Linked DNA regions of Saccharomyces cerevisiae S288C. The gene in region 4 interacts genetically with the main gene of each other region. Each region holds a gene or a part of one and is shown on either strand. Other genes may lie near its edges.

Region 1 (6,362 bases), 170 kb from region 4:
CTCTAAATATTCCTTCTTTCAGCACTCGCTTATGTCGTTATAAAAACTTGATTAATTTGAGTAATTAGCAGTTTTTGCCGTAGGTATGTTTTTAGAATGTTCTTTTGCACAGTCAGAAGCGTTGTTACCCATAATTTCGTGTTGAGAATATTAAATAATTACGTAAATGATCTGCCAAATGCTGACAATGATTGAAAAATAATTTTAAAGTTTAAATAATGCAAAAAATTTGTGTAAAAAGAATATGTGTCAACCTAAGCCGTTCCATACAAATAAATTTCCATCCCATGCAGTTGAAGCCACATATCCTGGCTTTCCCCACAAGCTCCAGTCAGCTCCAAATACGAATTCTGAATGCTGTGTGAAATTGAAAATGGAACCTTTAGTAGCATCCGTAGAGTTAGTTTTATATGTTTCTTTTGCACCATCGTTGCTGAGATCTCTCCATATTCGACAGGTCATATCATATGAAGCTGACATTAAAATATTGGAATGATGAGGGGACCAGGTAACTTTTCTGATTGCCAGCCCGTGCGCATTAGGGATTTCATTGATGCATGATGAATTGTGAAGTTGGCCGGGCACAGTCCTCTTGATAGTCGCTGATTCATTTTTATTTAGCATCCTAATGTCCCAGATTCTAATGGCATTATCTACACCTCCTGTGGCAACTACATAAGGTCTGTATTTGTTGAAATCGCAAGTCAATGCTTCTAGTCCTGAATGCACTAAAAAATTATTCTGATTTTTGCCGGAAGGTAGTCTAATGTCAAATAAGCTTGCATAAGAATTCCCTGAACAGGATAATACGAGATTTTGGTCGTGGGGCGAGAACTGTGCTTGGTATACACAGTTCCTGTTTTTTGAAATACCTGTAAAGCTTTTCTTTTTCAATATAATGGCGTTTAATGGATCCACCATTTTGGTAATCTCTAAAGGTCGTGGAGTAAGGGTCATTAAACTTTGCTTTCTTAGAGGGGACCATATTTTTATAGATCCATCCCATGAACTACTTAAGAAATTCTGCCTGTTGACTAAGTTCCAATTACAACTGAATACTTCTCGTTCATGCTCTTTAAATATAGCAATAGGAAACTCTTTAAAGGTTGTATCAAACAAGCGTAATGTACCATCGCCCTGTGCAACCAACACTTGGTTTTCATGACTTTCGTTCCATGCAAGATCAAATAAACAATCCTGTGTTAAAAAGGAATTAACTTCCACTATTCTACCTGAACGATCAATCTCAAGGATGAACAATTTTCCATTCCCAACCAGGCCAAAGTTTGAACCAGCAGCTACCGCGAGCCTGTTATCGAAAAAGGGAGAATACTGGACACCGTACCCACTAAAACCTTGCATATGATATCTGAGCATGTTGTATAAATTATGCAAAAAGTTAGATGATAGTCCGTTAACAATATGAGATCTCTGCACTTTTCGAGCGTCGAATTCCAAATCAGAAAGAAAACGATTTCGACCTCCGGTAAAAGATTTTATGGTAAGAAAACACAGTTTGTGTTCCACAGTTCTTAAAAGTGTTTTCACCTTTTACTGTTTTGCGAAACGACTTTTCAGAGGAGGTTATGTCGGTGGTTTAATTTCTCGGCCTTCATATTTACTTGCTGGAGACATGCAAATTTCTGATTAACAATGATTATAGAACTTTAAGTAGAAGTAAAGAAAAATAAGTATATGATATATATATATAAAGATGCAGATAAAAAAAAGGTAAAAGGAGTAGAAAATAATGTCTGAAAATGGATGACTGCCAATAGGACATATTTTCATATTAACATACTTCAGAAGCGGTATTGTTTATTGTGATGATCGTTGCTCATTGTTATCATTAGGGACGTCGTTATGAATGGTGGTGTCCGAACTGCTTGAACCTTGGCCTTGAGAGGGATTTTCGTCTGTAGGAGGAAAGGCAGCAGAATTGTTGTTGCGTAGTTCGACGGTAGTAACATCACCATTTTGATTTCTATAACTGGCAACACCGGAGGAAAACAAGTTATTTCTGTTGTTCTCACCAGTACTTCCACCTCGTTGTTGATCATTGCTATGGTTATTGTCGTTATTGTTGTCTCTTGAGCCATTCGTAAAATGGCCTGTTAATCGTGAAATATTTTCCAAAAAGGAACTTCCTTGCGTTGTATCAGAGGACGATGAGTCATTACGTCCTTGGTTGTGAACAGTTTGTGCTCCGGGTGCTGTTGTTGCAGAGGTATCAGAAGTTCCCCTCTGAGCAACGTTGAATATGTGATCCAAAACGGCTCTTAGTCTGTTGTGGTGAGGGTCTGTAGCGTCACTACTAGTGTTATTTGAGTTTGGACCGTTCGCTGCTGATGGGCTTGCCGAAGAATCAGAAGCGGAAGGATTCGGATTTGGACTGTGGAATTGGAACAAAGTCAAAGGGATGGGAACCCAGCGCGGACTTTGATTGTTATTCGAACCACCAGAATTAGAGGGTGGATTTTGAGTAGTTGAGCTCGGCCCGTTGACACCGTTTCTATCGCTATCATTAGGCGGTAAACGGACTGGATTGTGTAAAGGTTGGCCGTTTTGAGGCACTAAAAAAAAGCCTGTTCTTGATAACATCTGTTCGCCAGAACTTGCATTTCCGATAGTGGGAACCGTTGTATTGGACGTGTTTTCGGATGGGGCGGAACTATTTTCGTTAGTGCTATTCACTGCAGTTGGGTCGTATAAAACTCGTCTAATACGTTCAAAAGCAGCTTCGTTAGCTGCTACTTCATCCGTATCTTGTTGGGCTGCACGTTGAACACCTACAGATTCGCTGATCTTTTGTCTACAAAGGGGACAAGAATTTTCTAATCTTGACCATTTGTAGATACATTCCCTCCCAAAAATGTGGCCACAAGGTAACTTGATTGGTGAGTGTTTGTAGCTTGGATTTGTTTCTTCATCATTGAGAGTGCGTTGTTGTTCAGTGAGAGGAATAGAAGGCGGTTCAACAACCGTAGCATTTGTAATCGATGGGTTACTGTCATTATCGGCGGTTGTGCGTAGGGGCGCACCTTCATTATCCTTCCTTTTTTTTGTTCCTTCAGATTCCTCCTCATTTTCAGAATCCCTTTTTCTTTTTGCTTTAGTTGAATCAACTTCATCTTCATATTCGTCATAACATATACTACATAAGGGCCCTTCGGCCTTGGGTAGATCAGAAACTTGCAGAACGGGGAGCTTATCAAACTCATCCTTTGATATTCCTTTTGGTCTATTTAATAGTCTGTTGAATCTCTCCATTGCAAGCTGAGCAGCAACAGATATGAAGCTGTTCAAACGGTCTTGTGGAGTAGACGCAGGAACATCACGAAAAGATAAAACAAGAGCACCGTCGGGTTGATGGCCCCCATTTCCGATGCCAAAGCTGGGCCCAGTACCGTTGGCAATCGTGCTACCGGATGCTGCGCTGTTGTTTTCGTTATTATCATTATTAGATATATTGCTCAAATGTGCTAATCTCTCCGGAGTGAAATAGGAATACTGAATGGAAACGGTTATGTTTCTTGTTTGCTCAGCACCACCATTGAGTGGACCGGAAGCTGCATTTGAATTATTATTATTTTCAGCATTATTTGGTGATGTATTTGTGCCTCTGTTTTGTTCTTGACCACTTTCACTCATAATGAACAAAAGCTGAGGTTACAAGACTATGAGAGAAAACAAAGGGGAAAAAAGGGAGAAACGAACTATCCTGAAATGCTAAATAATTTCTATCTATAGTAGCTTCACTAGAGGATATATATGATAAACTATATTTCCTTCAATATATAGTTTTTAGCTATTATTTCATTATTGATTTGGTGATACTAATGCAATGTAGTTATATGTAAAAAATTCTTTCATATTTTTTGACAATGGCAGATAGAATGTTTTACCCGGCTTTTTGCGTCGAAGTATATAATTGTTGATTAAGAAGCCAGTAACAATAAAAAAGAACAGTATTATTTATTTTACGTTAAAAGACGCTTTTCTTTCAAGTAATGTACAATGTTATACCTCCAGATATACATTGCAACTTTTAAAGTCTAGTAAATGCTTATATGGAGGGAGGGATTTATCAAATGTGATGAAAAATAGCTGTAATGAACCTGGCGAAAAATGGAGGATTCAGATTGTGTCCTCCGTTTTCTTTTCTCGTAGATGAACTTGAGGTGGGAGATAACATTCCTGTTGAGGAAGTACTTGAGGTAGATTTTGAAATAGAGAGAGCTGTCGTACTTGTTTGGGTTTTTTGGCCTTTGGAGCTGGAAGAACTTGTTGCCGAATGAGACGTGGAAGCAAAGTACGATATACTGGAGTTAGCTGCCGTGGAAAACATGTTGCCGCCGGAGACAATACTTTCATATGTAGACCAAGTGCTTGAGTAACCAGGTGCTTTAAGAGCACTTGGAACCGCGCTCTCTATAATCTCAATGTATTCACCGTCGTCGCTGAAGTTAGCCTGAGCCATTGATATCTCCATATTGTCCAGATCATATACCACGTAAGTATTAGCTAAGAAGTTATCACCCAAAATAATGGTCGGATCTGACTGCGGTGCAATACCTAGTATACAAATGTTTGAACGACTATCTGTGACTAGCTGAAAATCGCTTAACCAATTAGAAAGATAGAATCCACCAAAATCAAAGATGATGCTACTCTCTTCTTCCATCTCTTTGATACAATCCATTATGTAGTAACCATATGCAGAAGAGTAAGTAGCTCCGACCTGGTCGGCAAGCATTTTTACCAGCTCAGTTGGCATATACGATATGGTCGTACCTGAATCTAGCAGGACTGGGATCTTTGTAGTGGTTAGGGTTGTCAGATTGTCTTCTTTATCCCCTTTCGACGTACCTAATCCTTGTAAAGTGACTTGGAATTGAATTGGATCCTTGTAGCCGCGATGCTGCAAAGTATTAATGATGGGAATTGTGTATAGGTCGCCCGCATATTTTCCATGATCCACAGCGCCAAACAAAATGGTACCATGTTTCGAATCAGAATCATTTGCGAATAAAGAATAAGCTGTTGATTTTATTACACCCGAATTCTTTAGCACCATCGGAAAGTTATTGTAAGTGTAGCTTTTTTGTACAGAGCTGAGAGAAACACCAGAATAAGTTGACTCCAAGCCAGGCAAACCAATACCCAAGACACCAACTGTTGAGTTTGTTTCGTTTGCTACAGCAAATGATAAACCCGTAATGTTCAAATCGTTCAAGCTCAATTGATCATGGCCCCAGGTACCAGATGCAAAAGTCGTATCACCATAGGCGATCGAAAATTCTGTATTATTGGAGTTGAATGTAGACGACTTAGAGGTATTAAATGTCCCGTATGTAGCGCAGTCAATTAACTGTGATGTAGAAGCTGTACTATCAAAAGTAGCAGTGGCTTCGCTGGTAACTATAGTGGTGTCGTAGCTAATTTCAGTAAACACACTCTCAACCACGCTAGCCAAAGCATCCTTGTTTACTTGTTTAAAGGATGAGCCAGTGGTATCCTTCTTTTTAGTGGAACAGTATGGGTTGTCTGAACCCGTGACCCATAGATCAGAAGAACCAGTGTCGACAAGCACAGTAACTTTTTGAGGAGGGGTGCCAATATCTAATTCCACCGAATAAAAACTGTTTTGATTAGTCAGTTCCACCAGCTCGTAATCATCATCTCTTGTCATCAAACGCGTTCTACCTTTTGTATCATCCAAAGCGTTTTCAAATGAACTGCCGTATTTCTTCTGAAAATTCATTTTGACATAGACTTCATTACTTGGTAAGGATGGAAAATCTGTAACACCGGCATCTACTATTGAGCTGCAGACAAGTAATGCATCTACGACAAATGTGAGGACAGATAATTTCATAGAGCTCTTTCTTTTTCGTTTATTTTTGACGTATTTGCTCAAGCGAATAACGACAAAAGCTTGTTCTCTCGTTGATACTTTTAGCCAATTACAATTTCTTAGCAAGAACGAGTGACGCCAACCAAATTTCTCCCAAAAGTGATTATCTGAATAATGAAAGATGGTAGGAAATAAGGTATTGAAACAGGTTCAAAACTTTAAAAGAAAACTGCCAAATAAACTTTCTCGATGCGTAGCTGAAATTTCAACTTCAAAAAAAAAAAAACGCGTGTAACTTTCTACGTGCAAAACGATGTGTATGAATCCCGTCTTAATTAGTAAATAGGGTCTAGTAAGCGTAGCGAGGATGAATTAAATGCATTGTTGAATATGAAGAGCACCTTATGGTATATAAATGTACAATCTTGATTCATGACAGCTTTGCAAGTAAACGTATCAAATGAATATCACGATTTTGGCTGTATTACCCGGGCAGTATACGCGG
Region 2 (9,336 bases), on a different chromosome or scaffold from region 4:
CCGACGAAGAAGCAAGGAAGAAGGGCATGGTTCCATACAGTGAAATTTCTGAAGAAGAAATCCGTGCTTACACATTAGGCGAATGCTTCACAAGTGGACACGAATACAAACCTGAGAGCTCCGATGATGAACTACCTGAGTTGACAAAAACTAGTTCAGAAAACACAAAAGTGTTTGAAATTGTTCATCAGAAAGATAATGAAAAGGAATCCTCTACTTCCAGTGAAAAACAAATTGCCTAATGAGCAAAAAACCTAATAAAATGATCATACTTAGTGTTCATTCAAGATCTTTCGCTAGTATTAAAATTCGAGATAATTAAACACACTCTTTAGTCCCAGGAAACACTACTATTAAGCTTGTTGGTCGTACAGGATATAGAGGTCATTTCGATTATTTCATTCTTCCACTAATGTTTGATTGACGATTCAGATCACTGTTTTTGTTTGGCTGATAATTGTAACAAGAAAAAAAAACTACCGCTTCTTTTCAGTATTTCTGTTGAGGATGATATTTTCATTGATTCTCTTATCAGCTTCAGTGCCGATATCCTATCAGGCTCTAGTAGGGCTGAAAATTAGGTGGAGGCGATTTTGTTACTCTTTTGTTCAAGTCTGAGCTTATGACGTCCTGCGACATACTTTTCTTATTACGTACTTATGATAAGTACCGGTTGCCTATGAGAGGAAATCGAAAGTCATTAAATCAAAAAAAAAAAAATAACTTGCATTGCATTGTGCGATTAAAGAGCAAAACTTATTTGATAAGAAACCTTTTCTAGAGCATCTGCGCCACTTATTTGAGAGGTCAAGTCTTGTTAGTGAGAAAGCGCGTGAAGATAGAAATTATAAATTACCAATTTATTTTCAGTATAGCCTTAGAAAACACAAAGGCACATGGTTGTATAGATCTATATAATGCACTGACTGTACCTTGTTGTAAGGAAGTTAATAATAAGCAACCTGTTCGGGCTGAAAATCCAAAAGAAAAGTTGACGGTCTATTAGTGGAACAATGAATTTGAACTTTACATATAAGGGAATGTGTCTTTACTTTGATCTTACAGCGAAAATTACTGAAATCACAGTTTACGTATAAAGCACCCCCAATCCACGTGTGTTTTATACGCTTCTCTTTTATAGGAATATAAGATCAGCTTTGATTATTAATTAATACTGTCATTTAATTGCCAGTTATCATCAAACGGGATATTTTCATCGGTTCATTAATGTATGGTAGCTGTTGCGAGCGTATAATTATACTGGCGTTTGAAGATTACATATATGATGAGAAACAAAAATCAAATTTAGTAACAACTGTTAACGATGCAATAATGAGTTAAAGCAATTAACAGGAGGGGGAAGCAATTATGTTATTCGTGGCATTGTTGATAATCTTTTGTGGATTTCCAAATCCAGGAGACGAGCTTCTTATATTGTATGTTACTAATGGTATTTTCTTTTTCAAAAAGTAATTCAAACGATCATATCAAATTTCGCATATTTCTTATACTTAAAGTAGGGCCGATTTACGGCTTATTTTCTGTTCCATTAAATGCCAAGCTCGTAAGTGCCAACGAGTGAAGTTACTTAAGCCTACAAACTAGAAGCTTAGCCACCAATTATCAACATATACATATGTGTATCGCAATAATGCTTCAAAATTCACCAAGTTCTTCAAAGAGCGTTTAAACCAAATAAAAATCCTAACTCCCGACGCCCTAAACTATTCACTTCCTTTATCTTGCCTGGGTCCATGGCAGAATCGACCATTTCCTTCTTTCTCTTCTGTAATTCAGAAATACGATCCTCAACAGAGTCCTTTATAAACAATTTATGCACCTGGACTTTTTTTGTTTGACTAATTCTATAGCAACGGTCTTGAGCTTGTTCTTCGACGTAAGGATTCCAAAATGGATCAACTATAACTACATGGTTCGCACATGTCAATGTTAGTCCTGAGTTACCGGCTTTCATGGAAATCAGAAGTATCCTTTTCTCAGGGTCACGATAAAATTCGTTGATAACATCTGATCTTCTCTGAGCGTTCATTGATCCAATATATTTCAAGTAGGGAAAATTCAGTTTATTTTTGAGAAAATGTTCGAGAATCTCAAAAAATGTTGTAAACTGGGAAAAAATAATAATTTTTTCGGTTGCTGATTCATCAAAAACTCTTTGAATAACCTGTATACATTGCTCTATCTTCGTAGATGGTTCTAAACTCTCAAAATTTGGCACATATACATTTTTTTGCTGTATTTTTTGTTTCTCCATTTCACTTAAATACTCTGCATGCAAATCTTCCTCAGTAAATCCCTGGTTTATTACCTGGTCGTATAACTTGTGCGAAACAATATCTTTCTCGTTTGTCAAACGTTGACAATCTTTGCATGGGATAGCAAATGCCCCACCTTTGGTTTTCTTGGCCTGAGGTAGCATGGATGACTCTTCGATGAAGGGCTCGATACAAGTGTCGCAAATCAAATGACCACAACCTGTCAGAACGGACATCGCTTCTGGTTCTAATTGTTCCATGCACCAGAAACATGTCATAGAATTCATTGAAGTAATAACCTGAGCCTGCGCTTCTCCGCTCATGTGAGTGATTTTATAGTAGAGCCTGAGCCAGTCATCTTCAAAGCTTTTGCCGTTAGCTACCTTTGTACCTTCCGCTTTTTTTTCTCCCATCACAACTAATTCTGAATGACAACAAGCCTGCCTTAAGCGAAGTAGTAATGTGAGAACGCTAGAGTAGCTCCCCCTCGTAGAATTGTTCAACAATTTCTTAGCGAGTGCTTGATTTTTTGATTCCAAAGCTGTGTAAAATTTTAATTCCTCTCCCTTCAGGCGTGATTCATCTACTTCCACAATTTTAGGAGGGAGCTCCAGTAAAGGTTTGCCGTCGATCTTATCAGCCTTAGACCGACGAAGCATAATGGCATTTAGAAGGACTCTAACCTTTCTTAATGCGTTTTTTCTATCCTCGTTATCATATTGATATTGCTTATTTCTCTGAAAAAACCTTCCAATGTCTAATTTAAACCGTTGCTCCTTGTGGTAGGGTGGAATTCTTAGAAATCTTATCAAGGAATAAAGCTCATCCATACTATTTTGAATCGGCGTACCAGACAAGACCCACCTATACATTCCATTTATAGTACAGCACGCTTTAGAAGCCCTTGTATTTTTGTTCTTGATGTTTTGGCCTTCGTCCAGTAAAATTCTGTAAAACGTTGAATCATTGCAGAAAAATGGAGAGTAGTATTCATTTGAGGTTTTCAACCTATTAAGAGCTTGTATATGAGGCACAGCTGGTAGCTGATTTTGTTCACCATCCAGTTTTTTCGGCCAATGTTTCTTAAATTCGTTTGCTAGAGTTTGATAAGATACCAAAACAGCATCATATCTTGCCAAATCCCTCCAGTGCTTAACTTTTCCGTTACCTGATCCTCCAAAAATAAATGTAGTAAATTTTGCGCGTTTTTTTACTTTCGTTTCTAATTCACCTTTCCAAACTCTCAAGACTGAGACTGGTGCGACGATCAAATTGGTTTTACATTTGGATTCCTCTGAGCGATTTGCTAACATCAATGCAATAGCTTGAATCGTTTTACCCAGGCCCATATCGTCAGCAAGCAGACCCCCTTTTTTTGCGGAGTTTTCAACTTGTAACAACCAATGCAGACCCAGCCTCTGGTGTTTTAATAAGTTTACGGTCATATCCTCGGGAGTAAGTGCTTCGCCGTCTATAATGGATTCAGATTGTTTGACATTCTCTAAAAGAGCCCTAATCTGTTCTTGATCTTCTGCTGCATGCATATTAGAGATGTGAAATTCATCTTGCATCGATAGATCATTGGCTGTAGAACTAGTATCTTCGGTATTTTCCACGATGTTCCAGTTTGAAGGAGGTCGTTGATCTGCGTTTACCGGAAATAAATAGCTTTGCTGCAGTAATTCTTCACTTGTTATTGGAATCTTATATCTTCTCAAATTTTCATATAGTCTGTCCATCTTAAGTCCTTGTTGTCTTAGCCCAACAACAGCTTTTCCGACGCCTTCCCTTTTTAAAGGAGTAGGTGGAAATCCGGTGTCAATATCTTTACGAAATTCTTCAATTATATTCAAAAATCGAGTAATCTTTCGTTTAGCATCCTCTGATCTAGTAGACTTTGATATGAGATCGCGTGCAACTTCGATGCTTTTAAAATATTGGGCTCTTCTGTCAGGATTGACAATGGCTGGATTAGAAAACTTGATGCCGTAATCTTGTAATGTTTCAAAAACAATGGGCATCTTTACACCGTTGGTGAACAATATTTGGGCCGATTCATGTGCAACGTGTCTTCTGTTTATATCTATTAAGGATCTTCCGTCTTCAAAAAAGTTTTTATAAGAGACCAAGTTGTCCAAATGTCTATAAAGAATTCTCTTCGTCATTTCTGTCCTGGATGTGTTCTTGGCTAATAAATCTTTTGCAGTATCAATGGACTTAATAAATAAATCTCTTTTGGCGAGAGGTTGCCGTACTATTGGCAATACACTATTGATATCAGTTGTGCGTTGGTCCCCCAGTTTCAAGTCATTCAGTTTCTGCTGGATCTCCCCTGTTAACTGCTTGTAGGTACTGAAGCTTAGGGTTCCTTCTTTTAACATTTGGTCTAGCTTTTCTTTCTCAGCCAGGCATTCGTTTCTTTTATTTACGGTCGCAGAAGCTTTACTATCCCTGGCTGACCGCTCAAGGGCAGCCAAAGATTTCTGCAGGTTTATATTTTTCGAATGCACAAAGGACTTCCATTGTTCGTTATAATTATACATTTTCAAATTGATTGAATCTAGCTTCGATTTTGTCAACTGTCTTTTTTCCTTCAGTTTGTTTAATTGGTTCTCAGCTTCATCAACTAATATCTGCTGAGTTGAGCTGATAGTTCTTCCCCCTCTAGCCATCGATGTCAACAATAACTGCCAATGTTTTTCAGCATCAGAGACCTCCTTTTCTCTTCTACTTAGTTTCCTTCTTAAAATTTCAGAGTTTGTCTTGCAGCAACTGAGAGCATTACGTAGTTCAGACTCTCTAGAATTCAAATCCTTCAATAATTTTTGATGATTTTTTTTTAGAGTATCAAGTGAACTGTTACATTCGTGTTGAGAGGATTGAGTAGCTTGTTCTGTCATGATAGTTCCTTGAAGAACTGACGAACTCGAGGATTGTGCGTCTGTTTCTGATGTAGGAATTGAATTGCTGCCACTTGCTTCTTTTATTACTGAGTTATTCAAGTCAATATTGGGTAGGTCAAGTAAAGATATGACTTCTGGTACACTGCTCCTAAGCGCATCAGCTGTATTTGGTTCAGAAACTTTCAAAGGACTTTCTATATCATTGATACCGGCACCAGATTCGTCCTCATCTGAAAGAATAATAATCGAGCTATTTTTCTGTTCGGAATCATGTGAATTATGTGTTGTGTGGTCCATATTTTTTGAGGGCAATATCGGTCTTTTAAGTATCTTGTTATCTGCAAAATCTCCGCTATGCTTCCTTTTAATCTTACGACCAAAATCGCTAATATCGACAGGTTGTTCACTAAAGTGCTTGAATAGTTCACTTTGTTCTTGCTCAAGTAAGGCAACATTATTTTGAAGTCCTGGAAGACGAACGGTCGTCTTCCCCTCTACTTTGGCCGTCTCGTTTTTAAGGGAACTCTCAACAGAGCTTAGATTGGACGGTAATGCTGGCGTTCGCTTTTCATTTACGATGTTAGGTATAGTGTTTTTGGAGTTATTTTGAGTTTCAGAATCCTGGAAAGCACTAGATTCAATAGGTAAATCACGATAACTTGTTGTTGTGACTCCTTTTATTTGGTCTTTGTTTTCGCTCTTCAAACTGTTATCTTTTGTTTCTGGGTCGCTGAACTGTTGCTGTGACGGTTTGTTATTCAAGTTTAACTTCTCCTCTTGAAAATCCAAATTGCTGTCCTGGCAAGTATTAGGCTCGAAATCATCTTCAACGCCATCGTAGTCTTTGGAGACGTATGAGGAAGAAATGCCACAGATATTTTCCTTCACTTGCTCATCCTGATTTATTCTTTTACCTTCCTCTTTTTGTTTAAAACTATCGGATAACGGCACATCATCGTTTTCATAAAAAAGTTTTATCATCTCTGCGCTTGGGCTGCTCTCTTGTGTTTTCTTCTCATCGTTGGAAGATCCCATCGTTTCTTCCTTCAAGACTTGCTGCTGTTTTACTTCGTTGGAAGATTTTTCATTGTTGAAGGTACTGTCTGTGATTGTCTTGCTCTTTGAAAGAATAGTATCGAAGGTTTCATTATTTGATATGTTCGTCTTGAAAACATGGAATGCTTGACGTGCTGCATCGTCATTAGATTGGGCGACTTCCAAGCCTGCCATTCTTAATTTCCCATTTTCTTTCCTAATGTCTATCTTATCCACACTTGTTGAAGACGAAAAAGAATGGAATATGTCTTCATTATCTGAATCGGCTAGTGTAAGGTCGATGGTGGGTACTGCTGCCATTTGACAGATGTTTAACCTAAAGATATAGTCCAGCGTCTCCTTTCAAGCACTCAAAAGATAGATGTAAAAATCGGTATAGACGCCCTGTCCTGTTCTTTCATAAAACTGCGGAGAGGTTTGTATTTATTTATTGTTTTTCTTCCTCTCATATTCGTTACATAGTCTAAGTAAACTGTCCGGTAATATCGAGAGTGACCCGTGTCTCGTGCTTCTCTTCCGCCTCACGTAATATCAACAGGTAATCATCATGAGCTCCCCATTCATAGTTCAGATAAAAAGTGAAGTAGCGGTTGATGGAAGCACTTTTATTTGCATAATTATAAGATATAAAGTATTTTTTATTTGTATACCTCATCATGTTATATAAAGAGTTTTAGATGGCAATTTTTTCTCCAATAATAATCATCACATTCCCAAGACCTTAAATATATGCCACAAAATTTCAATGACATTGGTTAGGATATTTCCTATCGTTGATAGGTTGCGGAAAAATGTTGAGTTGAATCAATTTTTCAACATCCCATTCGATACTATTCTCTGTCTTGTAACACCACATTATCCATCCACCAGTCATTTCAAAAGCATCTAATTGAGCCTCGATAAACTTTCTAGTGTTCTGTTTTCTCTCTTCGGGCCACAAGGCAATATTCTCGTTGTTTGCACACGTATTTATGTAATGAGATTTTTCATTGTCTTTGGTCCAACTTCCATCATATCTGGCACCTAGACCAACCCCATTTAACCACTTTGTACAATCTGTTAAGGCCGCTGAAAATTCGCCTGCTACGGACCAATGCTTCTCGCTTACGGCATCTTTCCCCCATTGGCAGGCGATTTTGATACGTTCATTCATTTTTCTTGTTAATTCCACCTGCGAGAACACCTGATAATGATGATGGTCAATTATGACGCCATATTCGTTCTTTTCATCATTCAAAAACCCATCCCAATAATGGTAAGGTTGAAAAGCATCATGTATTACAATGATCTGGTTGCTATTAATTTTATTTCTCAAATAGTCATAAGCCGGCTTCAAAAGCAAATTTTTCAATCTTTCCATGTCAATAACTGGACCTAACGGTTCATTGAGCAATTCGATTCCAATAACGGTGTCCAGGTATACGTCTGTTGAGTATTTGCTTAAAATATACGTTAAAGCTTTCATGGTGGCGCTTAAATTTTCATCTTCCAGAAACTTATATGAATCCCTCAACCCTGAGTTATCAAATCCGTTTTGTGAACCAGCGGCTCCATGAAGATCAATCCATACTTTCAAACCATATTTCCTAGCCCAATCGATAGCCCGGTCTAGAAAATATTCCTGCTCGGCGGTAACATAGGGATCATGACTCAACGTTGTAAAGGCCCAATACCCAATAGGAATTCTAACCAAATTGAAGCCTTGAGAAGCAATTTTCGCGAAGTCTTCCTCTTTATAGAACGTCGACCAATGACTATAAAGGCGTTCCTTTGCCTTTTCATAGCCTAATTTTTCACAAAAATGGTATTCATCAACAGGAATACCGTCATCGTTGTACGGATTAGTACGGAAAGTCTCGAATAAAGAAGGTGTAATATACGGCTCCAATACTAGCCACCCACCCAAATTGACTCCATGAATTTTTTCATTGATGGCTTGATTGTTGATGGCAGAGTATATACTATCCTTTTCTTTATAAATAAACTGTATAGAGTCCCTATTTTTTGTGGAAACAGGATTACAGTTTACTAATTTGGTAAAAAGTAGTGTTAGTGTAGTCAGCCCTCTGAACGAAACCATTTACTTCTAAAGTTTATAAAGATTTTATGCGGAGCACCTCAGTCTTTCTTTCGAATCTTTGGATGGTCTGTTCGCAATTGAACAATTAAAAGAGAAGGGTAAAAAAAATAATGAATGTGAGGTTGTTCTACGCATGGAAGTTGCTACAAAAGGGGTGGCAACTGATGGAAAGACTTTTTACACAAAGATTGACAGCATTACTGACAAATTTCTAATGAACCAGACGCGCCGCTTCTTTTAGTGTCGTTTGGTAACCGCTTTTTCTTAAGCTGGCAGAGACCGCCAAAAATAAGAGAGTCGCTTGTAGTGGGACAAATAATGAACAGAGAGGCTTTTTGATACCAGTATCGTTGAGTTGGGAATGAAATGAAATATAACGATGCAATCGTCGCCATTCCTGTCAGAATATAATCGACGGTCATGTTATATAATTGTTTTATAAACGCCCACTTCTTGGCTGTATCTTTTATAATGTCCTTTTTTCCTGAAGAGGGTTTCCATCTAATTTTCTTTTACAGTCTGTAGCCTTACTTCTGGCCCTTTAACTAAATACATTTGATTTATATTGCATATTTACTCATACAATTGTATATTTGTTGTTCTTTTTTGGTCGGCTACCAGATTTAGTACTTAATGTAACCAATTTGTGAATTTCATAAATGACGTGCCAAACTAGAAAGTGTGGGGCCCTGAGAACAACTTTAAGCTGTTGACATTACCTTATGAGTCCAGTCCATCCTCTCCTTCTTTTTCAAGTTGTTTTACTTCAGGATCCTCATCTGCTGGTTCTTTTTTCCTTGTAGCTTTGTCATCTGATCCTTTAACGTCAGATGCAGTAAACTCGCTTCCCCTTTGACGTTCTTCTCTTACGTCTCTTCTTATCCAGCCGGTGAAATTTACCTTATAACCACTGAAGCTCTTGATCTCTATGGCTTTATTCTTGTAATCCCACGGAAGTACAGGTTTGCTATTATCTCTCGAATTGGCAGAGGGAGGGCTTGTATCCTCTATTTTAGGGTTA
Region 3 (7,005 bases), on a different chromosome or scaffold from region 4:
TGAACTTAGACTCGTCAATACCACCAAAGGTGGCTTCACCGCCATTTTCAGTATCCTTTGAAGTGTCTCCCAAATAAAAGGCAAATCTCTTTTCGTCCAACAAATCTTGTTGAATGGCGTTGTAAAATGGAGGGACCACCTTATCAACAGAAATGGTATCGTAACCCAAACCCAAAATACCATCGAACTTGCCAAATGCAAATGTTAAGCCCGGCTCGCTGGTAGCCTCAGCGAAGTCTTGTTTTGGAATGGTCAAATCCCCGATGGACAAAGTGTCTTGAGAAATGTAACCTTCCAAAGAACCAGTACCATATTGAATGGCAAATTCAGTACCATTAGCTTTGTAGCTTGATGAAGCTTCATGATCGTATTTAGAATGTAGGAAACAAGCCAAGGAACCACATTCGTTACTTGGAACCCAAAGGTTTGAAGAACCAGTATCCAAAATAACCTTGAAGTTTTGAGGTGGAGTACCCAAAGTAATGTCAGTGTAATATTGTGCGTTCAAGTAATTTGTCAATGGAACATCGTGACCACCTTCAGTGAAGAAAGGATGCTCCCTAGAAAAAACAACTTCGGGGTTAGCTTTCTCAAATTGAGTCAAGTACTTTTGGCCTAAATGAGCTAAATGTTGCTCGAAAGTGACTTCTTTCATCTCATCGGACAACTCGTGTTTATAAATTTTAGCCTTGTGGACTTTTGCAGCAACTTGGTTGGCGCTGACCAACAACAAGGCCAATGGCAATAATGCTTTCAAGCTGAACATGTTAGTTTTGGTTTTTGTTTGAATTTTATTTGGATTAAATACTAGGTCACTAGGCTTTTTTTTTTTCTTTTCTTATAGAATTCTAATAGAAAAAACTTTTTATGAATACAGTAGGGTGAGATATACTTTTTGTTATTCTTCCCTTACGTGGTAGGCTTCTCAAATAAAAATAGAAAAGACCACTAAAATTTGATTATAAAGGCTTCGCTCAAAAAAGAAGAAGGTGGAATGAATAAATAGCAGCGAATTACCCAAACTTCTTTACTCTGTTCCCTTAACCAGTTGATAAGAGGTTACGAAGTACGGAAGTATGGCTTTTTATATAAATCCTAAAAAGGGCCGCCTCCGCCCCTTAATCCATCGACACCCGCAAATGAAATATAGTACCCGGAAGGCATAAGACGGGTTACAGCCTCTCCATAGATTCAATAACCGCTTTTGGTTATAGAAATAATCAGACCTCAGCAAATACAATTGAGGAGCTCAAGATATTGAAAACGGATTAACAAACTTTTTAAAATTATTTATGAGCTTGTTGTACCACATCAAGCAGGATTATGTTTTTTTCAGAACTTCTTTTTCTGATTCAAAAATTCATTAAGCATAACTAAAACTGAAAATCAAAACTTATTAATATACAAAAATCTATATATTTCAAAATGTAAATCGTATCAAAACGTCACTCTATATGTAATAAAAACCCAAAAAGTTATGAATAGATGAATTCTGAGTATTGGTATCTACCATCTTCTCTCTTAAAAAGGGGCAGCATTTTCTATGGGTATTTGTCCTTGGTTACGAAAATTGCAAATTCTCGGGGCCTTTTGAGGTTTGGTCCAATTTTGCCCTTTTAACCTTCTTACTAGGATCAATTTGTGATTGCGATAAACTTACCGAATGTATTCTCTTCAAAATGTTCCCCGTATTCGCATTAATCGGTGACTCTACCAAGTCGTTTAGTACCGAATTATTGCCGTTATTATTTGTATCGCTAACTGGCGGCTTCTTAGCCGACATTGATGAAGAAGAAGCCGAGGGTTGATTTGCACGTTGAGCTGCCATCATCTGGGTTAACTTTTTCACCAAATCTTTTTCTTCGGCTGTTTGCTTAAGTACTACTCTTTGTTCTTGTAACATACCTAATCCCTCGTTAAACAGACCTGTAGTATCGTTAATTTCCACTTTAAAGCCAATGACAAATTTATTGTTTTTATCCCAAATGATCTTGATTTCATCTCCGTCTTGTAAAAGGAATTTCGTACCCTGTATCATGCGGTTATTATTTAAATAGCTCACGTTAGTTCCGGTGTGGCAATACCAAATATCATCTAAACCTTGTGCCGGAGATTCATACATGCTTTTGCCTACAGCATGCCTCTTTTTGAAAATGAAGCAATGAACTCGAGACAACCTATTGTCTTCAATTTTACAATTGCAATCCTCGGATCTACCAATGAAAAATGGATTCACACCTTGCTGAATCTCCAGGCTTTCTTGAATAATGCTGTCAGGCAATGGTTTTAAAGTTAAAAACCTACCATTACCCTTTTTCTTTGAGCTCTTGACATTCTCAGTATTATTGGAATGTAAAAGTTTTTGTTCTCTAGTTTCTGCTTCAATGCTTTTGGGCTGTGTATATCGAATAGGGGCGTGTGCGGGTATTTTAAATCCTTGAATTTTTCCATCTTGGTCTTCCTGATCCTGTTCTTGAAGTTGTTGCTCCATTTGTAATTTCCTTTGCGCTTTGACAAATTCGTATTGAGCATCGTCCATATTTTCTAATAATTTCTGCTGCGACAACGATTGTGATAAGGATATTTGTGAAAAATCACCATATGATTGTGAGCCCAATGGACTCATCTTGATCCAGGGATGATTCAAGGCTTTTGCAGCTGTCGACCTATTATTTGGATCCACCTGTAACAATGAATCTATGAAATCTCTTGCTTCTTCAGATATCCGGAAATCTTTGAGGGGCCCTTCATGATATGAGCCTCTTCCAATCTGTTTATATAATTGGTCCTGTGTGCTACCACTAAAAGGTAAGTGGCCCGTTAGGATAACATACACAAGACATCCCATTGACCACATATCCACTAACGAAGAGTACTCATTCCTTTCTTCGTATTCATCAGGAGATACGGATGTATCTTTACCTCTGATGACTTCAGGTGCCACATATGCCAAAGTGCCACAGAAGGTTTTCATAAAAGACCCATTTCCTTGTACTTTTGCCAGACCAAAGTCGGTTATCTTTACCAATACAGGATCGTCTTGTTCAATAAGAATATTATCGGGCTTTAGGTCACGATGGCTGATGCCCATAGAGTGAATGTATTTTATTGCTGTGAGTATCTGCCTGGATATCTCCCTCCCAGCATCTTCTCCAACCGCACCATGAGCAGCAACAAAATCCATTAAGTCACCACCAGAAACGAACTCCATCACCATATAATAACTCTCAGTATCTTCATAAAATCCTTTCAATCGTACTATCCTTGGATGATTGAGCTTTTGCAATACTTCTAACTCTCTTGTCACACCATCCATATTGCCTATTACTTTGCGTTTACTTATAATCTTCACCGCGAATGTTTTCCCAGTAGTTCTTTCAATGGCTTTCTTTACTGTGGCAAATGCACCCTGGCCCACCACTTCGTCAATAATCGAAAAATCCTTAAAAATACCAGTCTTGTTGGCCACCATTGATGATGCAGTAGATGATGTAAGACCAGGAGAAGCTATTTTAGAGGTATTTTTCAGGTTAGATCTTATGCGATCAACTTTGTTCTGCTCGAGGCACTGCTTAAATTTGTCGTTTATGAAAATGACCAGAGATAAAATATCTGATTCCACGCCTACACCAACGGTTATTTCATCACCTTGAGACAGTAACTGATTGCTGTTCTTCTCGACTTTTTGCCCATTTAACCAGGTCCCATTAGTGGAAATGTCATTCAATAAAAGGTTACCGTCTTCTCCTAGTAGTATTTGGAAATGCTTATTTGACAGTCTTGAAATGTTTCCTAAATGATAGTCACAGGCTGGGTTTCTACCAAATGTCCAAACTTTCTTTATGGATCGTTTTTCCTTAAGCACTTGTGAAATATCAGCTGACAAATCTCGGATGGGAATTTGACCCGTGGTACAAATGACCCTGCACACAATGTTTTCGCCGATCTGTTCTTGAGAAAACTTCTCAATCAAAAACCTTTGAGTAGCCTGCGTGGATTGCTGTGTGGGTTGTGTAATATTTTCCATTTTTAGTTGATGTTGTGTAACACTATCTTTTCTCACTATTCTCTCTTTTAAAGCTTAAGAAAATCGAATGCATATACAAAATTAGTTTGTCTTCCAATAATCTCTACCGTCCTTTTCTGCTTTCTTACCTTTTCTTGATCAGAGATTTCAAAATGGTAACTTTGGTACCCTTTATCTTCTCAACCTGTACCTTTATTCTATAAATGTTTTCATTTCCAAGTCTACCCACGGTGATGATTTTTCTGCCAATTTTACGCGTCACTCCCGTTGCCGTATCAACGCGTCCACACCACCTCACCCTCGAAATGAAAATAAATATGTTAATAGATGCACGTTTCATTGACATCTGTGACAAACACTTTCCGGCTTAATTAAAAGGAAGCAGGCTATTAATGCACCAACCAAACAAATGATGGTTCACCTCACGCTGAAATCTCATCTAATAAAGGAAGAATTACTTTGGCATGCTTTATCTCCGTCCTATAGTTGCCGATACCACGGTAGATAATACAGTATCATTCTAAAAGTACCATTTAGGTAGGTGCTGAGCGAACCAATAAGTAAGTTTTTGTTTTTTCTCAGTGTTTGCTTTGAATTTACATTGAAATACGTTGTTTTGGACGTACTACAATAGCCGCCATAATAGATTTTCGGGTAACTTTTACACTCTTCCCTCTCTTTCACGTGAGTAAGCACAGAATAAAATCCTAACGGATGTGATAGAACAAAAGGGATATCAATGACAAGAGAGAGGTACTTTATGTTAGTCGCCTGTGCAGAAAGAACAGTCCATAAACAACAATCCGTAAAGAACAATATAAATATTTAGAAAAAGATGTTGCCAGAAAAGAGACTATTGACTCCAGACGATATGAAACTATGGGAAGAATCCCCAACAAGAGCTCATTTCACTAAATTTATTATAGATTTGGCTGAATCTGTCAAAGGACATGAGAATTCCCAGTACAAAGAACCAATATCGGAGTCAATAAACAGTATGATGAACTTGCTTTCGCAAATAAAAGATATCACTCAGAAGCACCCAGTAATAAAGGATGCAGATAGCTCGAGATTTGGTAAGGTTGAGTTTAGGGACTTTTATGACGAAGTTTCACGGAATTCCAGGAAGATCTTACGTTCCGAATTTCCCTCTCTCACAGATGAGCAGTTGGAACAATTATCGATTTATCTAGATGAATCATGGGGAAATAAAAGAAGAATTGATTATGGTTCAGGTCATGAATTAAATTTCATGTGTTTACTTTATGGACTCTATAGTTATGGAATATTCAATCTTTCAAACGATTCAACTAACCTCGTGCTGAAAGTTTTTATAGAATACCTTAAAATAATGAGGATACTAGAAACTAAATATTGGCTTGAGCCTGCGGGCTCTCATGGTGTTTGGGGATTAGATGATTATCATTTCCTTCCATTTCTATTTGGTGCCTTCCAATTAACCACCCACAAGCACTTAAAGCCGATATCAATTCACAATAATGAGCTCGTAGAAATGTTCGCTCATCGGTACTTATATTTTGGTTGTATCGCTTTTATTAATAAGGTCAAGTCATCCGCCTCCTTGAGATGGCATTCTCCTATGCTAGATGACATCAGCGGTGTAAAGACTTGGTCAAAAGTTGCTGAAGGGATGATAAAAATGTATAAAGCCGAAGTCCTTAGTAAATTGCCCATCATGCAACATTTTTACTTTAGCGAGTTTTTGCCTTGTCCGGATGGTGTATCTCCACCAAGAGGCCACATACATGATGGGACTGATAAGGATGATGAGTGCAATTTTGAAGGACATGTTCATACTACTTGGGGAGACTGCTGTGGTATAAAGTTACCGAGCGCTATTGCGGCTACTGAGATGAATAAAAAACATCATAAACCAATACCTTTTGATTAGGAAAAGTCCATTTATAGATGCTATCTCATTGTATATACACGTATACAGGGTACGTACTTTTTCCATCTACTCCCACTAAAATCTTTTGGCGCTTAAGTTGGGGTTCCACGCTAGCCCCGGTTCTGACTCTTTTGTAGCCGTCTCATCCTGTTTCCAAATCTTTATGCTTTTGTCTGCTTCTCCAGTGATTAATCTTAAACCTGTTTTATCGAAAGTGCTACAAAGAACACTCCGTTCACCTTCCAGAGAGCCTACCATTTCTCTCGTGGCCAACGATTGGTATTTGTGACCAGACTTATAATCATAAAAGGAAAGCACACCATTGTCACCGCCAGCGAATAATACATCATCTTGATTAATGCTTAAAGTATTGATTATGCCTGTCTTTTCAGACTCAAAATTGGTGAGTAAAGACCCCTCTGCTAATCCCCATGATCTGATGTCATCAGTACACGCAGAAGCCACCGAAAACTCCTTAGGATGCAACGCTGTAGCTCTCACAGACCTCTTATGATGTGTTAGAACTTTCATTGTTTTCCCAGCAACTACATCCCATAACCTTACCGTAGCATCAGTCGATGAACTCACCACTTGAGGGTCTACTGGAGTACACTGTACTTGATTGATTGGACCCTTATGCCCAACTAGTGTAATAACAGGTATTCTGGTTCTCATATCCCAGAGTTTGATAACGCTATCTCGGCCTGCGGTAGCTATGAGATCCAGCGTTGGATGTATGCTCACCGTACGAACCCCCGATAAATGTCCATAGTAATCTCTAATAATTTGGTTTTTCTCTAGGTCCCAGCATTTGACCGTCTTATCTTCACTAACAGAAAATAAATAAGGATGTCGATCTGACACAGCAACGTCTCTCACTGTCATTACATGCCCTGCTAAGGTAGTTTTTAATTTTCCTGTTGCAAGATCCCAAACTTTCATTGTCGTATCATTACTTCCGGTGATGAACCATTCGTTGTCAACAGGATCGATTGCAACGCATCGTACCCATCCAAGATGGCCATTGATAACGCGTGAAAGTTTCCAGGGTGCATGCCATTCCGGC
Region 4 (8,555 bases):
TGAAAAATTAAAAATGAAACTGTTGGTTTTATCTCAGTTGAAACAAGAACTGAAAAGAGAAAAACTAACTCTCAATGCTCTGAAACAAGTTCAAATGCAACTAAGGCAGGTCTTCTCACAGGACCAACAAGTTTTGCAGGAAAGAATGAGGTATCACGAACTTCAGCAGCAACAGCAACAACAGCAGCAACAGCAACAACAACAACAGCAGCAGCAGCAGCAGTATCACGAAACTAAGGATATGGTCGGTTCTTACACACAAAACTCTAATTCAGCGATTCCATTGTTTGGAAATAATTCAGATACAACGAACCAACAGAATTCTTTATCTTCCTCTCTTTTTGGTAATATTTCTGGCGTTGAATCTTTTCAAGAAATTGAGAAAAAAAAGTCCCTAAACAAAATCAATAACCTCTATGCATCTCTTAAGGCTGAAGGGCTCATATATACTCCACCAAAAGAATCCATCGTAACGCTTTATAAAAAGCTAAATGGACACTCAAACTACTCTCTTGATTCACACGAAAAACAATTGATGAAGAACCTGCCAAAGATACCCTTATTAAATGATATTCTTTCTGACTGCAAAGCTTATTTTGCCACGGTTAACATCGACGTTTTGAATAACCCATCCCTGCAGCTGTCCGAACAAACTCTTCTTCAAGAAAATCCCATCGTCCAAAATAATCTTATTCACTTATTATACCGATCCAAGCCAAATAAATGTAGCGTGTGTGGTAAGAGATTTGGCAACTCAGAAAGTGAAAAACTACTACAAAATGAGCATTTGGACTGGCATTTCAGAATAAATACAAGAATTAAGGGATCACAAAACACAGCAAATACAGGCATAAGCAACTCTAACTTAAATACAACTACCACAAGGAAAAATATTCAATCAAGAAACTGGTATTTGAGTGACTCTCAATGGGCAGCCTTCAAAGATGATGAAATTACCTCCACAAAGCATAAAAATGATTATACTGATCCGCATGCCAATAAAAATATCGATAAAAGTGCCCTAAATATTCACGCTGATGAAAATGACGAAGGCTCTGTAGACAACACTTTAGGAAGTGATAGAAGTAACGAGTTGGAAATACGGGGAAAATATGTTGTTGTACCAGAAACTTCACAAGATATGGCCTTCAAATGTCCAATTTGTAAGGAAACCGTTACTGGCGTTTATGATGAAGAATCTGGTGAATGGGTTTGGAAAAATACTATTGAAGTGAATGGCAAATATTTCCACTCGACATGTTATCATGAAACGTCGCAAAATTCAAGCAAATCTAATAGTGGCAAGGTCGGTTTGGATGACTTAAAGAAATTGGTCACAAAATAAGAGCAGAACTGCATATATACATTTAAATTTAATAACTATATATTATATTAAATTCTTTGTTCTTGGTATTTGATGGGTTGCTCATTTGTTTATTTTTTTTTTTTTTTTTTTTGCTTATGTGTCCATTATATTATATGTAATTTTACATATGTAGCCAAAAGCCCAACTAATCATTAAAATCGATTAAAGACCGTAAAGTAAATTGTTCATTATAGAAGAAAACGACAAAGAAAAACAGGGTACACTTCGTTACTGGTCTTTTGTAGAATGATAAAAAGTCAATACGGTTTTATCTCCTTATTCACTTGAAAATCTTTTTCCATCAATTTGTTAATTTTAGCATCTTTTTCAGATATTTGACTTCTCGCATTTTCAAGACATTTCTTTGTAAAAGTTAAATCACCTTGAAGTGAAGTTATTCTAATTTCATTCCTCATAACTTCATCTGACAAAGACCGAATAATTTCATTTGCAACAGCCAATTGTTTTTCCTTTTCATCCAGCGCCGATGCTGCTTTCGACAAAACGATATCCACAAAGGAAAGACCATCTTCTTTCATGTCCTTCGAACATTCGGTGACACTATCCTTATTATCAATTTCAAGTTCTGTTTTTTGGGTTGATGTGTACATATTTGATTGTTGAGTACCAGTTTGTGAATGTGTTCCTAAAACGTCAACACTAGTTAAAATTTCTGTTGTATTACTGTCTGTTATATCGTCGAGTTGTTTCACTCGACGATCTTCAACGATTGGAACCCTTTTTCCAACAGAAAAATAGCCGTAGGACGCAGGTCTTGAGAAAGAGAGTGAGATGTTTTCTGATGCGTGCTTCCCATTTCCAGGGATTATTTTTGCTTTGTTAGAATTAAAAATACTGTCGAATTGCTTCTTTTCTGGTAGGGTTTTCGTTTCCATTGTGCTCAGCTGCACCAAAGACTTCACATCTGGCGGAGAAGAAGGCTTCACATTTTTAACCATTAACGGTTTTTTTGTAATTTGCAGTATATCCTTAGGCATAATTTTGGCATCTGCCATATGCTCGGGCTCGACCACATGTGGTTTGACCGACGTGGATATAGAAACAGGTTCACAGGACTTCTGAATATCAAATCCCATGTTGGAAACAAATCTCTGAGTCTTCATAAATGACCAAAATCTGGCTTTTTTTGCATCAGGCTTGTTCTGTAATTCGTTGTAGTAAATCTTAATTTCAGAACTCATTGGGTAATCTTCTATTTCACCTTTCAGTATAATGATGTCACTCTCTCTAAAATTATTGGAAATTGCTGATTTAAGGTTGTTAGCAAATATATCTTTAAGTAACTGCATTTTTTCGTTAATTATTTGTCTATCACTGTCGGAAAGCTCCGAAGGGAACTCATCAACCAACGAAACGGAAATAAGTTTCAAATTTGCAAGCCATTCTTGCCTCCAAGAGCTTTTTGAAAGGTTCTCCTTCGTGTTTTTGGGTTTGCTAGAATTAGTATCACTATGCGACACTCTTCTATTGCTTTTAGTAGGCGTGGTACTTAGCTTTGTTTCTTCGAATCCTAATGGAGAAGACACGGTTGGAATTTGGGATGGTTTAGCGGAAGAAGAATTTTGTTCTTGGCTATGTTTCCCTATATTGATATTTTTATTGGTCACATCATTTTTTTCAGTGTTATTTGTGTTTTCAAATGTAGAAACTGCATATAATGGCAAATATTGTAATCTGTCCTTCTTGTGCACTTGTTGGTAAAAGAAAGCACTTGATGTTTCATAGTTTTCAACAGAGCAAATGTCGTTAGTCACACTAGTTAATGGATTGCCACTTAAATAACTATGTTTTGGGATCCCTTGTTCAATAAGGTCAGTTATTGTTTCTTTATCGTATGTCGTTTTATCAGCTATCCTCCAAAGAATGTTTTTCGTCAATTCACGATCAGATTTTCGCCAATCCAATACAGGATCAAACCATTTGCCTGCCTGAATTTGGTCCTTTTCAGCACTTGTATCTAAATCATTAGTTACTTTGATTTCATTTGATTCACCAGAGCTTAAACTTTCCAAGTCAGTTAGGCTATCATTATCTGAAGAAGAATCGTCTGAGTCGGACACGTATACCAGCTCCATTTTTCCCGGGTGAGTTATTATCGTATTCATTCTCCCACGGCAGATCTTCTTTTTTTCAATTTGCTCATCCTCTGTATGATTTGCGAAAGATTTCTTTGAAGGTTGAGATAGAGAAACTGGAAAATTATCGCTATACTCATGCTTACTTGCACTAACTGGCTGAGATAGAGACACCTTATCAGTCTTATTTTCTGGCTTTTCAGTGGAAGCGATAGTTTCCAAAAAATTGGCTTTTTCTTTTGACAGAGCATCACTAGAAAAAGGTTTGCTTTCACTTTTAATGAAAGGAGCCTTGAGTACGTTTGAAAACAAATTTAATAAAGATTTGCTTTCAACAGCCTTGGAAACCGGTTCATCCTTTGATTTAACATTCTCCCGGTCAATCTCTGAGGATATTTTTGGAGCAGATTCAACCTGAAAAAGGTCATTAGTTCCAATTTTTATATCTTTTTTTTGTGTAACTTTATGTGTGGAAGGAAGAGCAGTGTTTTGTGATTTATTTAAAGGGTTTTGAATAGTTTTCTTAGCCTCATTTGATGATTCTTTCGTATGCAAAATATCTCGCACAATTTCCTTAGGCTCTAATTTCTTTTGGATGTTTATTGTACCGTTTGAGATATTTGGAGTTCGCCCTTCATTAGGCTTATGCTTTTTCATAGGATTCGGTATTTCTCCTAGCTGGGGCCTCTTTGATGGTGTAACATTCAGGGTATTGTTTCTCGAATCAATGTGGGATTCTCCTTGTACTTTTTGAAGCACTTTTCGACCATCTATTCGTACACTCTGTATCTGCTTTGTGGTTTCTTCGGTTACTTTGTTTACGTGAGCTTCAGTGCTCATGATTTCAGGCGGCCTCTTACCAATTTTCTTGTTTTCACCATTTTTATTCTTTGCAGAAGTGTTCATATCATTTTTCTTTTCTGTGCTTCGAGAAGTAGAGTTATAGTTGTTTTCTTGGCCTTCATATTCAACAAGAAAAGCAAGTTTTGTAGTTTCTTCATCTCTAGTGGAAAAATTTCGGCTGTTTCTACGCCCTTGAGGTCTGTCAGCTGGACTTTTCGACAAATGAGGTGACTTTAAGATTTCCATCCTCTTGAGGTCGGCGTCTTCCTTCATTTTTTGTTCAGATGTTATAGGCTGATGCTTCGAAGGTGCAAGTGTTTTCTCATCGTGCAGTGTTATTTTATCTTGATCAATGGCGACTTTTTTTGGAGATGGAACGATCTTCTTTGATGTTAGAGTTTCTGTCGTGGCTGACGTCCCATTGGTATCTAAGGCCGATGCGACCGTACTATTTGCACTATTCTCATCTAATTTTACTGGTTTTTCTTGATTTATTTCTAAACGCTCGTTAGTAGATTCCTCATTTATTCCATACACTTCTGTTTGTATGGCATTCGGTTTTGCAATTCCAGGACTTCTTGCCTTGCTCTCCTCCGGTGATATACCACTGTCACCGGCACTAACCTTCGGAACTGATAGTGAATCAGAATGGGCAAAGTTTTTACCTATATTCAACTTTTCTTCTTTTTTTTCTTCTACGGTATCTTTCCTGATAGATTTGTCCTTGGTCAAAGAAATCACAGAGGCGCCGATGTCTGCTGATCCTTTTTTAAGTGGCTTCTCTAAAACAGGCTGTTCGTTTGCCAAGTTTATGCCTAGAATCTCTTTAGAGTAATCCCTTATTTTCTCTTCACTTAGTAAGCTTTTTACTCCTGATAAAAATGAGTTATTGGTTTGTGATGTTGATATCGGTACTATGGTACGTACAGGCTTTGAATTGAAGGTAGAAGTTTGTTGCTGCGCATGCCGGGAAAATGCTGTTTGTTCAAAACTTGCTAGAGACCTGCTAGCATCATGTGAAGGATTGTTTGATTCAATTCTTCCTGCTGACGTTTTGGACCGAAGAAGGGAGAGTAGTTTGCTGTTGCTTATTTTTTCCAGATTTGAGTGAGGAAAAGAATTATAGTTATTTTTTTTCAGTGGTGAGGATTTTGGCTGTTGCAACTGTTTATGGGAAGTCGGTTTTACATCACTTGGTTGATGAGGTGAGGTATGAATTGCGGTTGACGGCCTTGAATAGTTTTTGCTTTTGGCAAACGTGAATAATGGAATTTTAGGTGTCTTCACTTCATTGGATTTTTCTTCTCTTTCAGGAATTTTATCATTCGGGGTTACTGGTTTTTTAGTAAACTTGGGAGTGCTGGACCTATTGGGTGTCTTATTGTCATTTGGCATTGGCTGTTTTCTTCGCTTTTTTGGTATTGTGGGTTGAAGCTTCCTTTTTTTTTTTATCCCCTGCAAAACGATGTCCAGTTAGAACTCTGACTGAATTATAAAACCTGAAAAGCGCTTATTTCGTTATAGGTTTATAAAAAGCTTCACTATTACTGTTATACCGTTTTTGTTTATGTGATGCGCTTTTGTTCATCTATTTAGTAATATGATTTGCGTTCGTTCTCAACGATAAAAATATTGACTAAGTACTTAATGGCAGTGCACATGTTTAAGGACGTTATAGCCAGTTACAAACACTTATGTTATTATTTCATTTATAGTATACTGCGGATATATGTACTCACATACAAAAATTTATTATATTTTCATTAATTTAAAAAAAAGAAAAGATATTTAGAAGACATTGCGCAAGGTCATTAATCCTTACCTAGCTTGTTCAAGATGTCAGCCCAAACAGTAGCAGGAGGTTGGGAAGCATCAACACCAGCCCAGATACCGGTCTTTTTGTAAAAGTCAACAATTGGTTCGGTTTGAGCATGGTAAGCAGCTAATCTCTTCTTCAAGGCGTCTGCATTGTCATCAGATCTTTGAACTAAAGCTTCACCGGTGACGTCATCCTTCATGTCTTCCTTTGGTGGGTTAAAGATCTTGTGGTAGGATCTGCCAGAGGCTGGGTGAATTAATCTACCGGTAATTCTGGCAACCAACAATTCATCATCAACCTTCAATTCGATGGCTTTTTCCAAAGGAGTTCCTTGTTCTTTCAACATTTGGTCCAATTTTTCAGCCTGAGGAATGGTTCTTGGGAAACCGTCCAAGATGAACCCATTCTTACAAGCTGGATTGTTGGTCAATTCATCCTTGATCATGTTAACCATAATGTCATCAGAGACTAAACCACCTTGGTCCATAATTTTCTTTGCTTCCAAACCTAATTGAGTGCCCTTTGCGATTTGAGATCTCAACATGTCACCAGTGGCCAAGTGAGCGGCATGGAAACGCTCTTGCAAATTTGGAGCTTGAGTACCTTTACCGGCACCAGGTGGGCCAATTAGGACCATTCTAATGGATTCTGAGCTAGACATTACTGTTATATTTGATGCTGTGTGGTGACTTTACCAGAGAAACGTTAATGTTTCTTTATTAAAGCTCTCGTTTCTGATAAACCAGGTAATCCATTTCAGAAATTTATGCGTATATATATATACAAATATGCGTAATAAAACTAGCCAGAGTGAAAAAGTCGAAAATCAAAAAAAAATGGGCGAATAAGGACAGAAGCCGCGGGCTGCTGCGGACAGTTCTCCGTGACAGGATCGCGCAATCGTGAGCTTTTTTCCTTTGGTTGTGAAAATTTCGTCACACTATCAAAGTGAACAAAGCACAGAATGTGTTTGCTACTCAATCATGTTCAAGTAAGCAACAGTGCCCAATGAACCTAAACAGAGCAACAGAGAAAACAGGAAGACACAACAAAAAATTTATATCATGCATGACATATGTTACCGTTAATTATATACCCAATAAATTATATATAGAAAAATAAAAAGGAAAAACAGAAAGGTCTAATAGACACTTAATATAGTTACAATGGAGAAGCAGTTTAGTTCCTTCCGCCTTCTTTAAAATACCAGAACCGATCTTATAATTCTTGAGAAGCCTTGGTAGCCTTGGCAGACTTCTTTGGCAACAAGTTTTGATGGATGTTTGGCAAAACACCACCTTGGGCAATGGTAACGTTACCCAATAGCTTGTTCAATTCGTCATCATTTCTGATAGCCAATTGCAAATGTCTTGGAATAATTCTGGTCTTCTTGTTATCCCTAGCAGCATTACCAGCTAATTCTAAAATTTCAGCGGCCAAATATTCCAAGACAGCAGTCAAGTAGACTGGAGCACCAGAACCAATTCTTTGGGCGTAGTTACCTCTTCTTAGCAATCTGTGCACTCTACCGACTGGGAATGTCAAACCAGCCTTAGCAGATCTAGATTGAGAAGCTTTAGCAGCTGAACCAGCTTTACCACCTTTACCACCGGACATTTTATATTTTATATGTATGAAATTTGTTTGTTTTGAAGTTGTTTATTCACTGAGAAATAACCAAATCCGTATGATGATGTAGTATCAAGAAGAGAAGTACAGATTGGAAGTAAATAGATGATGGTTCAACAAGACCAGAAAATCTACAAGCTGATTAGGAGTCTTATTTATATATTTTTTAGGTCAAGACTTATTGCTAGTATTTACGATCCACTGGCTGGCTTCGTGAACGGGGAAGGGGGTGAGAAAAGATTTTGAAATCAACAAAGTGGGCAATAACAAATAACAGCATGAGAAACCACATATCTCTACGGGCGTTTCTTCAACAACGACGAGTTAACTATTGTGCTCTTTTTTTGAGCCACCAAATACACTCCATTCCAATAGCTTCGCACAGTGAGGCGAAAATTTTGGAACAGCGCTAATGAATTATTTGTGAGCTCGGCGAGTTCAAATTTGAAGAAAACGCGGTTGGGTCGTTAACTATGGTTAGACGCTCAATGTCGCCCGAAAGGGAAGGCTGTTCTCACTTTTTCGCGCGTTGCACCCTTTCTTCCGCGAAAAAATGAGAACGATGGATTTAAAATCAAGAGAATTGGCCTTAGTAGTGGCAAATACTACCTTGGTTGGTTATCTTGTAACGATTGGTAAGAAAGGGGCATCTCTGTTTTCTTGATGTATATAAACAACATGATTTGATCATCTCAGATGGTCAGATTTATTAAAGACGTTTCTCTTTCCGCATTTTCGATTATTGTTATATTAAATTTATCCTATATAGACAAGTCAAACCACAAATAAACCATACACACAT

Evidence for each region.
Region 1: of SIR4 (region 4) and SAN1, changing one suppresses a phenotype caused by changing the other (phenotypic suppression), as found in Saccharomyces cerevisiae (3 studies listed by BioGRID, with this or other methods).
Region 2: of SIR4 (region 4) and ULS1, changing one enhances a phenotype caused by changing the other (phenotypic enhancement), as found in Saccharomyces cerevisiae (one study listed by BioGRID).
Region 3: of SIR4 (region 4) and RAD53, a mutation in one rescues a mutant of the other (synthetic rescue), as found in Saccharomyces cerevisiae (3 studies listed by BioGRID).

Annotation. Positions count from the first base shown.
Region 1 is NC_001136.10:740,224-746,585, forward strand, and holds SAN1 (ubiquitin-protein ligase SAN1), read right to left. Parts: upstream 3,652-6,362; coding exon 1,819-3,651; downstream 1-1,818. Other genes in the region: PEX7 (Pex7p), read right to left, coding at 250-1,377; MKC7 (aspartyl protease), read right to left, coding at 4,088-5,878. UniProt on the Saccharomyces cerevisiae protein: Plays a specific role in mating-type regulation of yeast, by acting post-translationally to control the stability or activity of the SIR4 proteins.
Region 2 is NC_001147.6:689,674-699,009, reverse strand, and holds ULS1 (translocase ULS1), read right to left. Parts: upstream 6,536-9,336; coding exon 1,676-6,535; downstream 1-1,675. Other genes in the region: THI72 (thiamine transporter), read left to right, coding at 1-242; SPR1 (glucan 1,3-beta-glucosidase), read right to left, coding at 6,978-8,315; IES4 (Ies4p), read right to left, coding at 9,036-9,336. UniProt on the Saccharomyces cerevisiae protein: ATP-dependent helicase involved mating type switching and in silencing interference through its interaction with the silencing regulator SIR4. Cooperates with UBC4 and UBC5 to mediate ubiquitination of SUMO conjugates.
Region 3 is NC_001148.4:260,166-267,170, forward strand, and holds RAD53 (serine/threonine/tyrosine protein kinase RAD53), read right to left. Parts: upstream 4,028-7,005; coding exon 1,562-4,027; downstream 1-1,561. Other genes in the region: PEP4 (proteinase A), read right to left, coding at 1-766; YPL152W-A (uncharacterized protein), read left to right, coding at 4,437-4,535; peptidylprolyl isomerase RRD2, read left to right, coding at 4,863-5,939; mRNA splicing protein PRP46, read right to left, coding at 6,015-7,005. UniProt on the Saccharomyces cerevisiae protein: Controls S-phase checkpoint as well as G1 and G2 DNA damage checkpoints. Phosphorylates proteins on serine, threonine, and tyrosine. Prevents entry into anaphase and mitotic exit after DNA damage via regulation of the Polo kinase CDC5.
Region 4 is NC_001136.10:914,716-923,270, reverse strand, and holds SIR4 (chromatin-silencing protein SIR4), read right to left. Parts: upstream 5,701-8,555; coding exon 1,624-5,700; downstream 1-1,623. Other genes in the region: PCF11 (Pcf11p), read left to right, coding at 1-1,345; adenylate kinase ADK1, read right to left, coding at 6,117-6,785; HTA1 (histone H2A), read right to left, coding at 7,343-7,741. UniProt on the Saccharomyces cerevisiae protein: The proteins SIR1 through SIR4 are required for transcriptional repression of the silent mating type loci, HML and HMR. The proteins SIR2 through SIR4 repress mulitple loci by modulating chromatin structure.